Linked DNA regions of Oreochromis niloticus. The main gene of each other region encodes a partner of the protein of the gene in region 2 in a complex. Links are inferred from orthologs where the notes say so. Each region holds a gene or a part of one and is shown on either strand. Other genes may lie near its edges.

Evidence for each region. Proteins that work in one complex are often made in the same cells at the same time.
Region 1: smarcc2 (region 2) and smarcd1 share a complex: the UniProt entries of both Homo sapiens proteins name them as parts of the BAF complex. The link is inferred for Oreochromis niloticus from reciprocal best matches to the Homo sapiens genes SMARCC2 and SMARCD1.

Annotation. Positions count from the first base shown.
Region 1 is NC_031970.2:8,062,101-8,069,461, reverse strand, and holds the start of smarcd1 (SWI/SNF-related matrix-associated actin-dependent regulator of chromatin subfamily D member 1), read right to left. Parts: upstream 3,028-7,361; 5' UTR 2,975-3,027; coding exon 2,792-2,974; intron 1-2,791. UniProt on the Homo sapiens protein: Involved in transcriptional activation and repression of select genes by chromatin remodeling (alteration of DNA-nucleosome topology).
Region 2 is NC_031970.2:23,534,629-23,541,640, forward strand, and holds the start of smarcc2 (SWI/SNF complex subunit SMARCC2), read right to left. Parts: upstream 3,027-7,012; 5' UTR 2,985-3,026; coding exon 2,874-2,984; intron 2,246-2,873; coding exon 2,126-2,245; intron 2,029-2,125; coding exon 1,943-2,028; intron 1,822-1,942; coding exon 1,740-1,821; intron 1,190-1,739; coding exon 1,097-1,189; intron 1,003-1,096; coding exon 933-1,002; intron 847-932; coding exon 777-846; intron 605-776; coding exon 529-604; intron 80-528; coding exon 1-79. UniProt on the Homo sapiens protein: Involved in transcriptional activation and repression of select genes by chromatin remodeling (alteration of DNA-nucleosome topology).

The DNA.
Region 1 (7,361 bases), about 15 Mb from region 2:
GAGTATGAAGCCTCTTTTGACTATGATGTGAAAGGCTGCCAAGGACGTTGGAAGAGAAAAAATATGTGACAACCATTTACTGAGCTGTCTTTCAGGTTGGTAGTAGCTAAGAAGCAAACACTTCAGCTGTGGATCAGTGATAAATGACTCATCGTTTATATCTTGATTTTAATACAATTCTCTTATCTTAAGACATAACATATTAGCTGGAGATGACTCAATCCAATGCAATATCGGGGGAATAAACCCAGGACTACAGATCAGGATATGAAAATTTATACTCTGATACTAAATATGAATGCAAGAGCATGCATGGGATAATAAGACCAAGAAACCAAAGAGTTCTGATCAAATATAGTAATGGAGCATGCACGCAGTATATCGCTGGAGCACACAATCAGCTTTAAAGTCCATTCATTTGAAAACATTTAGAGTCTGAAGTCCTGATTTACTGAAAATGTTTGCTTCTTGGTCATTTTCTTGAGTCCCCACTGTGCAGAACGATGTGTTGCAGGATGTGAAAGCAAATGAAAGATTTCAGTTTCTTCAGCCAAAGGGAGCTCACCTTTAAATCTCAGCAGTCATCGTGGACCTTGATTCTGTTACATAAGAACTAGAAGGAGAAATTGGCAGCATCTTCTACCTTGCAGTTAAACTTCTGAAATGATCAGTATCTCCATATTAATATAGTGTGGGATTTCAAGATAGAAAATGAGCTGATGTCATTTTACCTGCTTAAACTTTTTTTCTTTTATTTTCTGTGCATCTGTGAGCTGTGCATCTCTATATGTATTAAAGGGAGGTTTTTAAAAATTATATTCCAGGGATTTCCACCCTCGACATACAAAAATATTCGGCAACCTAATCAACATCACCGTCCAGAGTTGAAACAGTTGGTCTATATCAGACTATTTCGTGGTTCAGAGTCAGGCAACTGTGAAGGTGCACTTTGCGTTCACCTTCACAGTTCCCCATATTCATTCTTCTCCCATTACAGTCAGAGTCGGTGATATTAGCCTCAAAGTTATATCACAATATTTGAGGGAAAATTGTGATTATATTTACAGCGATACAGGGGAAAAAACAACGTTGTATTGGTGACTTTAGCTTGCAAGCAGCAACATTTAATAGTGCAAACAAAGTGAAGGACGTTTTCCAAGCTGCCGTCATTGATACCGCTGACTGACATAAGACAGGTTGGTAAATAAATTACAGTATTACCAAGGCAACCAGAGCCTGAAACATCTACTTTAGACCAAACACGAGCAACACAGCGAATGTGGATGGGATTCTGGAAATGTTTAATCTGACAGGAAATCACTAAAACTCAAAATTATGTTTTTTTCTTCTACCTGAGACCAAAACATCAAGTTTCCTAACTAATATAATCAAATGAGTATGAGGACCCACCTATGTAAAAGTGCTATAAATCAAAATATTATCACAATATCTTGAAACAGCACAAATCTTAAAAAAACAAACAAGATAACTAGTGGCTGAGGGTGAACGCACCATGGTTTTATTGTGTATTCATTGTGACAATTTGTAGAAATTGTCTCCTTTGGACATCTGTTTTTCTATCTATTTTACTGCATAATTACTCTGAGTATCTCTGCAATTTAGGGGATCATAGACTACTGTTAAATTGTGTTTAATATGTGTGTATCACCTGCAGGTCCGTAAGTAAATTTTCGACTATTTGGACAAATGTTTGTGAGGCAACTTTCCCCTTTCTGAGACTGACAAACAACCAACCGACCAGTTACTGTATATCCAGTTTGTTGATGGTATACTGGCAAATAAGATTAGTTTACCAATGCTGCTGGTGGACAATGTTAATGTGTTTTCAAATCAATTCTGCACTGTGTAAATGTTAATAGATTGTGTAAATTATTTTATATTTCAAATGTGAGAAACGACTGTAGATTAATCATGTGATTATTATTATTATTAATTGTGACCAATGGACTAACCGCTGTAATCTGATTTGAAGATCAGAAAATATCAGCTTATAAGACTCAAAATTAACTAAACATCCTTCCAGCAGTTTAGATGCGTAGTGAGTTCACGCTGAGATCCCAGCGTTTCTTGGTACTTGGTGTACTTTGCGGCAGACCAGCCAAGTAACAGTGAGCTCACTAAACATAGACACACTGATGTTAGACTTTACAAGTTGTAAAACACCAACTTCGACGAGACAAACTGCACCAGCTAAACAAAGAGTGAAGTCTGCTACTGACTGGCACCTCTCCTTAATCAGTGTTTCTGTAGGTAGGTTGTAAATTTGCATTGACACAAACTCATATTGATGCAGCCGATTCATTCAAAAGTAGGCTCGACTTATAACAACTTCTGAGTTCGAACCGAGCCTGAACTTCACAAACTACAACTTCTAAAACTTAAAGGATGGTTTAATTGTTATGTTTACAAACTACACGGTGCACATTTTGGGTCTTTTTGATAAGAAAACTGGCCGAAATACAGTTAACAGTTAGCGGGGTTAGCAGGCTAAGCTAACTGGATGCTGCGATTAGCTAGCTAACCTTAATGTTAGCAGGCGGGAGGGTTAGCAAATTCAAACAACAAACAAACTCTGATGGTCATCCACAGCGACTGGTGAAATATTTCAAATGCATCACCAGTTTTGAACCGGGCTGCTAGTTAGTATGAGCTGTGGCCTACGGTGGTGAAGGGGGTTAATGCTAGCCACTAGGGACAAAGCAAGCGGAGCGAGGCTTTGTTCTAGCGGACTCGCTAACGCGTCAGCAGCAAAGATAGAGCGATATCTTACCGGGTACCCAGGCCCGGGCATCGGTGAGCGGTACATGTGGTTCTGCGCGGCAGCCGATGGTCCCATTCTTCCAGAAGGTGTTCCTGGTCCCATGCCTGGTCCTGCACCCGGTACCGGTGGTCCAGGTCCCATTGCTCCACCACCACCCGTCGGTGCCGACTGAAACCCCCCTCTGGCCGCCATCTCCTCTCTGAATGTCGCTGCCGGTGTAGGCGCGGAGCTACCGCGAGAGCGAGAACGAGTGTTGGGATGGACGTCACAGGTTCAAGACGCCCTCCCCTGTTTGTTGGTGGTACTACAGCAAAATTAGACCTGGTGACGATGACGGCGGAATAGGTCCTCGTTCAACGTTACAAAAGTACTGTAAATATACTCCATTACTCCATATAAGTTCTTTAAAAAATACTAGTTATGTAAAAGTTTCTAACTATAATCATGAACATGTACTTAAGGTATTAAGAGTACTCACTTCAGTTGTGCTATTACGCAAAATATTTGTTTTATGTTACATCTGTTAGAGTATAATTACTTAAAAAGCAGGATTGACCAGGATATTACTGTTGTAGATGGATACGTTTTTTTTGCTACAATATGCTACTGGACTACAATTAATGGATATTTTAGTTAGGTAATGTGGTAATTCATTTTTAATTAATAAATTTAACATCATCCCCAAAGCCATGGGCAGTGAACAAAAAAGGTGAAGACGAGAGTGTAGCCAGGATGGAGTGTGTGGAGACAAGTATCAGGGTGATTCGTGACAGAAGGATAGCAGCAAGAGCGAATGGGAAAGCTTTTAAAATGGTATTGAGATCTGAGATGATGAATGGTATGGAGACTGTTGCAGTCACCAGGATGGACAAGTTTAAAAATAAGTATTTAGGAGGTACAGCTCAGATTGAGACAAAGTTAGAGAGGCAAAGCTGTCATATGCAGAGGAAGGATAGTGGTTACATTGGACAAATAATGTTAAAGATGGAGCTACCAGGCAGAGGGAAGAGAGGAAGACCACAGAGAACATTCATGGATGTAGTGAAAGAGGGAATGCAAAAAGTTTCAAGAAGAAGCATCACCTAATCTTCCCCAGGTCTCCACTTACCTGTTCATCCATGCCTTGGACTGTCTATGTGCACTCTGCCTGTTTTTTTGACCTCAGCAAGTTAACCTAGATTTTTGACTGACCTTTTTGTCTTTATCTTGTTAGCCTTCCTTGTGTTTTGCTTTGGTACTGACCTTACTAAGCTGCAAGTTTGTTTTACAGTCATGTAAAAGTAAAAGTTTTTACTGGTCTAAATACAGACCTGTAAAAACTAAATGCATCCTGTGACTTGATAGCTTTTAGATCCTTTTGCATCAATAGCTTAAAGTAATTGTTTTCTTTATGATTTTATCAGTCTCTCATGTTGTTGTGGAGGAAACTTGTCCCACTTGTCTTTAATATTCTTATCTCTTTAGAATTCTGCTTAAGTTCATTTAGGCTTGCAGGCATTTCAGTTGGATGTCTAAACTTCGACTAGCCCATTGCAGCACCTTGAGTCTTTTCTTTTTCAGCCATTGTAGATTTGTTGGTGAGCTTGGTATAATTGTCATTTTGGACGATCCGATTTCAACCAAACTTCAGGTGTTGAACAGATGACCTCACATCTGGCTCTAAAACACTTTGGTTCATGGTCGACTCAGTAACTCCAAGGTCTGTAAGCTTGTGCTTTGACGGTTGATGTGAGGTGTGTGAGCTGATATCCTGTGTTTGGTTTTCGCCAAACGCAGTGTTGTGTATTATGGCCAGACAGCTCCACTTTGAACTTGTCTGTCTAATGGACATTGCTCCAGAAGTCATGAGGCTTGCTCAGCTGCAAGTTTGCAATCCTAAACCGTGCTGCTATGTTTTTAGAGAGAAGAGACTATCTCCTTCCAGTCCTTCCAACCAAGCCATAGTTTTTCAGTCTATATCTAGTTATACTGCCATGAAGTAGGAAATATCTGTTGAGTTTAATAAGTATCTCATGTTTTTGCGTTCTTTGAAGTTTTTCTTACCACTGCATGATGTGGTCTTTGGGTGACTTTGCTGGGATATCCAGTCCTGGGAAGATTGTGGGATAGTGTAAACACAGACCTAAATGCTCCAGACCAGCAACCTGCCAAAACGTCTGCTTTTATAGAGGTTCTCACATTTGGTGATGATTTGTTGATTATCAATACCTGGCTGCCACTTACCTTTTTAATTCCTGGCTGCTAATATAATTTTAATGGAAGCATTAAGCGTGTACTCATTTTTCACAGGAGTGCATAGAGTCCTGTGAAAAATGTTCTTTTTCACAGAACTGTACCTGTCTGCCTCTGGCTCTGTAATTTGGCTCTATTTTTCTTTCACCGTAATTATCTCGAGTCCAAAGTGACACCTTTAAAGTTTTTTTGCTCTAAATTAAAGTGCATATGAAATTGTGTAATTATTAAGTACCGAAATATGACAGATAAATATAGGTGCTTGTAAAGATAAACCTTGTGTACCTCAATTTAGTACTTTGGCACTTGTTTAAAAGTAATTACTTTAACTTAATTTCACTGAACATGAAGGGAAATCACAGCCTTTCTTAAATTAAGGAAGGTTATAAATGAAATAAAACTAAATCCAGAAACATTATTGTGTTTGTGTGTTGCTCCTTCATTTTATTCTTTAATTAAACAAGTGCTAACATGAAGTATGAAACACAAGAAAAAATAGCATAAGTCAGTATCTGACAAGTAATCTTGAAATGAAAATGAAATGAAGATAATGAAACTGTTAATTAACTAAATTAACAGTGGAGCATTGGCACCTTTTATCATAATCTGATTGCATTTTCTTCTTTCAATCTTTGATAAATTATTGGCAATACGGGCTCAGTGACTATGAAAATTAGCCTTTTGCTTATCTCTCTTTTTTCAGAACTGTAATTAAAATTCATTGTCCCTCTAACCAAATGAATAAACTTAATTATATTCAGCGTCTGATATCTCTCCAGGCTGACTGGTGACTAAAAACCAGATCTATGGATGCAATGTGCAGTAAACCAAAACAAACAACTCTGTCTGGGTTTGTAAAAGTTAAACAAAGGTTAACTCTGTCTTGTTTGGTATGCCATCCAGTCAATCTGTCTGCCAGGGACTGCAAAATGGATTAAAACCAAACAAAACAGCATGCGAGGCCCTCGTAGAGAGACATTTGGAAGGAATATACCGCCATGACTGAGTCGTAGCCATTAAAAGGAAATGCTGGATGCTTTCAAAATAATGAAGGAAGTAGTTTTTATTTATCAGTTAACGTCATCATTCATCATGCAAAGTGCAGCAGACTGCAATGAGAGAAGTATTTAGTGTGACCATCCCTGTCCTTTAAAAGGACTTTCAAAATGCTTTTCTATGATCTTGGAGAACTTGCTGCTGTTCTTTGGTGGTCTCAAGCCATATCAAGCTGATACTGCTGTGAAAGGCAGGACTCATGGTTCTTCTTGTAGTTGAAGATGGCTCTTTATGCTTTTGTCCATCATCCTACCGATTTCATTAAATGACTGATGCAAAAAATGAAACATTTGAAGTACCTCAGCCTCTGATGCTTTCCTTTTTTGTGTAGAATAATTAATGAAAAATCTAAAACTGTTTTGGTACCAGTAATGAATTATTGACATCATAACTGGCCTAGAAATAAATCAGTATGGATTATTAATCTTAAAATATTCAAGGACAAGACAGCAATAGTGTCCTTCACCACTGGGCCTCCCAAGTCTGCCCTCAGAGTAGTTGACTCAAGTGTTGTTGGCTCTGAAGCAGTGTAATGACAGTGGGCCTTTGGGTGAAGCAGGAAACATCTTGGGATAGGCAGAAAAGAAAAATATGACACATCACATCATGCCTTTAATGTGGGAGAAAAAGGGATGTAATTTTAAGATATTTCTTAGGAAACTATTCATTTTTTTTCAAATGTTTTTCAATGTCTTTTTTTGTGGACTAAATACATCAGGCACAAATGAGTAAGAGTGGCTGGGTTTGAGCCTAGGATAAAAGCCTTGTGCTTTGAGTTTGTATGTTCTGAGGTCAGATATTTCCTACCATGAAAAATAAATGAAATCTCTCAGAATTGTGCCCTTCACCAATGCTATTGGCCCTCTGTGACTTCCCACTGCTCTTAATATGGGGATCAATAAAGATGTTCTGAGTAATGTTGCCAAAAATGGCCTAAAAAATCCAAGACCAGAAATTCAGGTAGGTTAGATAAGTCTATATAAAAAGGCCTTTATTTTACAGGGTTTAAGAGATTAAAAATACATCAATGTGTGCCAGTTTACACCTTGTTCAGGTGTAGAGATACAAAGATACAAATCTATCCATATCCTTTTTATCATGAGTGAGGGGTCTTTATACTTGACCTATTGAGTGTTAAATATAAGATTACAAATGAATAAAGGGTAAAAAGAGTGACGCATATGGTGGTAATCACTAGGCTTGACTACAAAGTCTCTAAAAAATAAACAAACGTAGCTGAAAAAGTTGAACCCGCAGTCATGTTTGTTTGAATTTTCACTCTTGAACAGAG
Region 2 (7,012 bases):
AGCCCTCTCCAACCTCATAGTCCTCCTCGTTCATCCACTCGTTATACTGGTCCAGATCTAAAATCCACTTTGCATGGACCTGTAAATAAATAATTAATAAATAAACCAATTATTATCTGCCCAGAAGTGAAATATTTTCAGCAATCATGTCAACCACCAGGATGGTGGAGGAGGAGGTGGAAGGAGGAAGAGCTAAACTGAGTTATAATAAAGTTATAATAAAAGTTATAATAAAAGACTGAAACTCATGATATTAACCTCTGTTATTAAAGACTTTATAAAGAACAAGAACAAATTTAAATTCAAGCTGAAATCAAAAAGGTTTCCAAAAACATACAGATGTATCTGTAACATTTAAGTGCTGCACAGTGGACAAATAAAAAAAAAGATCCTTGAATTTAAATACTGCAAGTGTCATGTAGCATTAATAAAGGGGTCAAATACTTGTTTTAACTCAGGGAGTATTAGAAAATCTGCTGTTTAAATTCATACAGACTGACACAGACAGAAAAAAGCAACAACAAATACCTTCCTGGGCTTTTCTGGGGAGGGAGGATCTTCTACCGCAGCCTCAATTTCACTGGCTGCGATCCAGGTATCATAACTAAACAGTGAAAGGAATGAGGTCGAAACTCGCATTAGGTGGGAAAAGCACGTTTGGCCATGTAACACCACAGCAGGAGGGGTAATGTCAGCTTAACCTTCTAAAAACCAAAGATGTATTGAGAAAATAAGAGAAGTAGATAAAAGTGAGCTGCACGGTGCTCAGAACAAACCTGTCAGGAAAGTATCCCCAGTGAAGCAGCACTTGCTTGTCTCTCTTCATCACAGGACGAACCCACTCCTCTGGACCAAGAAGATCAGACGATGTTAGCGCAAATCTGACTCGTGCAGTAAAACTTGTAACAATGCCTACCGAGACAAAACCTCACCTTCCTCCAGACTGGCAGGAATAGGCACAACAACGTGGGAGCTGGAGGCCTTGTCTTCGGTTACTGAGCCCTGCAATACAAGAAAACATGAGTAGAACCATTTGAATGTAAATTAAATCTGTCTGTAGTAAATGATCTGCCTGAAAGGCTCCTTTAAAACACACCTGATGTCTTTTGATGATGTCTTTCAGTTTCCCCAGCAGCTTTGGCTCTATGTCAGGACTCAGGTAGATGACGGGCCTAGTCAGACAGTTGTTCTGGAAGAATTGGAGCAGATACATCACTTACATAACTACATTTGCGAGCATTGATTCAAATAATCAAGAAGACTCACAAAACAATACAATAATCGAAACTCAGTTCTGCCCAATATTAGTTTTGCTATAAGCTTATTCATGCAGTCTTCCATAACAGTCCCAGTTTCTCATGTGCCCTCTTTGGAATATTAATTGCCCAGTACTTGTCCTATGAACTTGATTAAAAGTAGAAATCAGCATGCCACAGCAGATGAAGAAATCTAAATGATCTTGGAAAACTGCAGGACTGATTAAGTAGGATTTCTGTGGTCATGTGACTGGATGTCTTTCAGTACTTCTGTGTGTAATGCTCAGGCAGCGTGATTCCCAGACTCTTGAGAAATTTAGCGTAACCACAGGACACGGTGTTCTCTTTGCTATCATTTAAATTTAATGCCTGCAGTAGGAAAAACCATCAAAAATTTACTCCTGTTAGATAAATGAACCAAAATATGGCCTGAAATTTTCTAGTGTCCATTGACAACCATAAAAGCACTTCTGCAAATCTCACCTGCACTAAGGACTTCTCAATCGTCATGAACATCTCCACATTTCGGTCCATCCTCGACGGATTCTGGAAGTCAAACCTGCGCCTACCAGGAGTTTAGACTGGAGTTACACACGAAACGGCAACATAGCCAATATCCAACTGAGCACCGTAACTTAACAGCCACTAGCCCAGACGCCTAAACTCAGCTAGAAAGAAAGTCTTACCATCCTTGGTCACTTTTGAACTTGTAGGCTGCAGCCAGGATGTGGCAGAGAGCCCCTCCTGACTTAAAGTCCAAGAAGCATTTCATCTGCAGGGATACAACTCAACACATTCAGAATCACAGCGGTTTAAATGAGGTATCTATTTTTGCATGTAACAGATATACAGATGCTTAAGACACGTACCGGCAGCTTGGTAAGCGGAGGGTTACTGACATGTCGACCGAACACCTCCTCCTGGAACTGGAGCAGCTGGACCACCAGGCTGGACAGAGACTTGTTGGTGGGGGGCTCGGCCTGGATGTACTGTGCGCAAACACATGAATATAAACTCAACTGTGCTGCTGGATGCCTTTATCAGATACCTCAAAGGAAGGAAATTTCAGTGAAAACTGCGACACGGATTGGTAAATGGGGAGGGGATGGAGTCACAAATATCGCTAACCTTTCATTTTTATCACTGTTTAGTAAAAAATGATTTTTTTTTATTTGTTTATTGTGTTTAAACACCAGCACAGTCCTCAGTGTTATTCAACACCGGACATTGCTTCAGTCAGCGCGGCGCGCCACAGAGCCAACATCTGGATCCGAGCTGCCTCACCGTTAGCCCATTAGCTTACTAGCTAGCTAGCGGGCTGGCCGGCTAAAGTCACCCTTCAACAAAAATCCATCCTCTGAGGTCAGACTGTGTGCTTGTTTTAGATCGGTTTAACTACAACAGTGCTCAGAGAAGCTGCCGTTAGTGGCTGCATCTGATGCAGCTGTTGGCTCAGCATCCTTTTGTATCCCGGCTCGAGTGAATCAAACAGCTGGACGCTCAGCAGCACCCTCCCTCCTCTCTTTGTCACTGCCTCTGCCCAATAGGTAAGTGGCCATATTTCAACGTGAAAAATGGAAGGTCTCGCTGTAGGATAGCAAAACATGCGGTCGGTACCTTTTTGTAATTCTTTCCCAGCCAGACGCGGACATTATCAAACTGAGAAACGGTATCAGACGCTTCGAAATATTTTACATTCGGGCCGCCGTCTTTCTTCCGCACCGCCATCTTTGCCTGCAGACAACTAGTCGAAGTTGCCTGCCGCCCAGCGACCACAGCGCGAAACTGCAGCCTTGGACTGTAGTGACAACCAAAGTACAACAGGGGGCGCAGCGGTGTAGATAATGTTTTTGTCCTCCAACAATACGATTATAAAAATGTTTATGCTAACCTCTCAGCGAACACACGCACAGATAGATAGATAGATAGATAGATAGATAGATGTATCAGTGGTTTAATGCTGATCTGGTTTGCTGGTAACTAACTGCTGTTTTATTTGAAAAAAAAAAGAGTAATTTAGTAAAATGGAGAAAAAAGTAGACTAAAACTGACAGCGAGAGCTCGTTAACTTCCCTACTTTCTATGTTTAAAAATTAAAGTAATCATTTTTACCCTATTCTTGATTTTATCATACTTTCCTCAACCAGTAAGCAATTAAATTGAGACCAATTAATAAGATGAGTTTTTAAAAAATCATGTCCGGTATCGGATAATTTCTCAATTCGGCTGTCAGTATTTGAAGAGAGTCTTACATAATAGAGTCAGGTGGATCGTTAGGTCATCAAAAGCAAACTTCAGCAGAGCTTTAAGTTATACTGACGGCAGTCTATGTTTTTTTCTGTGTGAGTAAAATCTGTAGAAGCTCAACAAATGCGGAACACACTAATGAACAAATCCTCAGGCGTGTGTAAAATGTACAGGAGCTTGCAGAGTATTAATAAAAATATTATTTAATAACCAGTATTAATAGTTAGTTTGATGCCTGTGCCTGTTTGTAAAATTCACCATATGCATCCACTCTAGAAGTGATAAGGAGGCTGATTATGCCAGTGCCCTGAATGGGCTACATGGTGAGTCTAAAATAAAGCACTTACCTGTAAATGTGTGTGGGGGAAAAAAATGAAATGGCAGCGATTGACCTCCTTAGCAATTAAATGACCTCCTGCAACAGGATGTCAGTAAGAGTGCTCACGAGACACTCAAGAAAGAAGGCAGGCAAGTAGTGTTTGTTTTTTTATCTTTTATTGAACTGTGAAAAATAAAAATGGAAAACGACAGTTTCTGATCCAGTGCGACAAAAAGTAGTAAATCCTGCTATTTGATGGTAATTGACATGATTCGGATATGTGTTTTATGCACTAAGTCAATGGTTTTAACTTAAATCATGGAAGCACTTACACTGAGAGACTTAGAGTGTCCCAGCAGGTGTCCAGTCTCTATTTAACCTCTAGTTTTCAGTGTCATCAGAATCAGAATACTTTAATAGTCCCTAAAGAAATGATGCATATCATGTATTGTTATGTGATTGTGGACAAATTAAATCAATTCCCCTCCTCAGCCTGGCGATAACTACAGGAAATGTGTTTGGAGGTTTTATCTTAACTTGGGGGTTAAGACCTCTCAAAGGATTTTCAATTATCTATTCATAAAAATTAAATGATTAAACGTTGTCTGTTTGTTGTCCTTTTTTTTTGCCTTTGTGTGTTTAGTAGGACTTTAAGTTTTTTCTTTCAATCCTCCATAAACTACTCAAATGGACAATCTTATATAAACTTACTGTGTGATAAAACTGAGCAGTATTTTGTATGTACCGCATGAGGAGTCTCAACTGTGCAGTGCTTCATTTAAAAAGGTCATGTGGGGAAAAGGTGGTGAGCATTATCAGAATTTGAAAGTTCAAATTAGATTCCAGATTTGGTTCAGCTAAGTGCCAGAGTAGATATTTTTTTCTGCTATTCCCTATTATGTTGAACACTTTGATATTTTCCTCTGGTCACCTTTTATTTCTTCTTATAAAGTACTTGTTTTAAATCAAAACTACATATGTAAATATGTGTTCAGTTAAATTGCTGCAGTAAAAGAACTAAAAATTGCACACATGTCACAAGTTTAATGTTGTATGGATACAAGACTTTTAATTATACAGCATATTCAGTATGTATATGTATATATATATATATATGTATACAAAAGTCTTTTATGTGAGAGCAAATTCAGCAGCCATTAAAGTTCAGAAATAACGGAGCAAAATATAGATATGTCAGACTGTTTTCATGTTCCTGACCTTTAAACTGGCCCTCGTTTAGTCAGAGGCTGAATTAACCTTCATTAACAGAGAATAGGTGTGTGTGTGTGTGTGTGTGTGTGTGTGTGTGTGTGTATGTGTGTGCATGTTGCCTGACCCAGACTAATTTGTGAAAGTCCACAGACACCACTGGGCAGAGTAGTGCTCCTTGAACTAGTATTCCTCAGACTCTTGGTGTGTTTGTATTTGCTCAGGAGCGTGTGCGTGCGTGCATGTGTGTGCATATCTTTGTAATGGTGCGTGTTTGTGTGTGTGAGCGTTGTACACAGGGCTGCCTGTGCTGAAGGAGAGAGAGTGAAGCCTATTGATTATTTTAATCCTCCTATTTGTGAGTCTGTGATCCTCTCGGCTCAGCCTTCCACAGGGGGATTGCTAATGGGGCTGAACGCTTCCCTCCTCAGCCCTCTCCTCTCCCTGTCCAATTAACTTAACGCTGGAATCTGCAAGGAGGGAGTGCTGGGACTCAGAGGGAGGGAGACACTGCCGAGATACATGCCCAACAACTCCCCCCCCCTCCCTGTGCAGCATTCCCCTTACCTCCTGTCTGCTCCTCATTCAGCAAGAACCTCCTTGTTCTGAATAGTATTAGCTCTCACCTTTAATTAAAGATCCATCTCCTTGTTTTTATTCCAGGGAGGTGAGACTCCCTTTCATGTTTCAATGTTTCACTTTCACTGGGTGGCTTCGGAAAGGGCCAGAAGCAGCAGCAGGTGAAGAAACAAGTCTGATAATGGGAAAGCTCTCTTCAAACAGGTTGCTGTAGCAGCAATTATGACAAATCTTTGACATTTCAATAACTATTTGCAGCACTAGTACGTTCAGCTCACTCATGAAGAATTTTAGGCATCAAGCTTTTTAATTATAAACCTGAAAAAAAAGGGTATTCACAAGGCATTGTTTGATGCAATTAAATTTTATATTCAGGCTCCTCTGTCTTCACTGAATGTGTGCAGGCAGTGCAAAAGCAACCATGTACAAACCACAACACATTTTTCTTATTCATATTATTTTTGATCAATAGTTGAATTTTGTGCTTAGTACAAAAAATGTTAGCATGCTAACATGGATGGAAAAACCTTCAAAACATCAACATGTTAGCATTCTAAGCCTGTTTGGATGTTAAAGTTAGCATTCAGGTCAAAGCAACACTTTAGGAAAATCAGAATATTGTAAAAAGAAACATGTCTAAGTAAAGAAATGCTGCCTGTTAAAGATATGGCTTTTTTTTTTTTTACAGAATAGATCAGAATATCAAATATGTGCCCATTTGGCAACATTGTGTGGCTATGGATGCCTGTGGCTGACATGATCCTGCTTAACCAACTCACTAAATTTGGAATACCTTATTCTAGTTGTGTATGTTTTGTTTTTGGGATTTACTGCCACTAAAATTCTACAAAGAGAAACACGCAGCTAAAAATGTCCACAAATAAATGTAATTTACAGTAAAATCAATGGTTTTGCACACATACAACATATTGCAATTCCACCTTTACAGTGCTTATTATCCTGACCAATTTGCACATTGCCAGAAATGTAAACTTAGTTAAATGTAATTTTGCACATTTGCAGGATGATTTGCGAATCTCATAAACCCATAATTTATTCACAATAGAAACACAGAGATTTTATGCTGTTCTAATAGATGCAGTTTAGCGTTGTCTTGCTGAAATATTATAGGCCTTCCCATCCTGGTGGGAGCATATGTTGTTCTAAAACCTGTAAATATGTTTCAGCATTGTTGGTGCCATTCCAGTTGTGCAAGCTGCCAATTCAATAGACAATGATGCACCGCCGTACCATCAAAGATGCAGAATGGTCCCTCTCCTCTTTAGACAAGACCTGTTCTCCATGTTTTCCATAGAGGGTTGTCTGTACACAGACCAGTTCTCCACTCTGTCTCAGTCCAGATCTCAGAGATGATGGTGGTGTTTGAGGATCATGTTGAAGC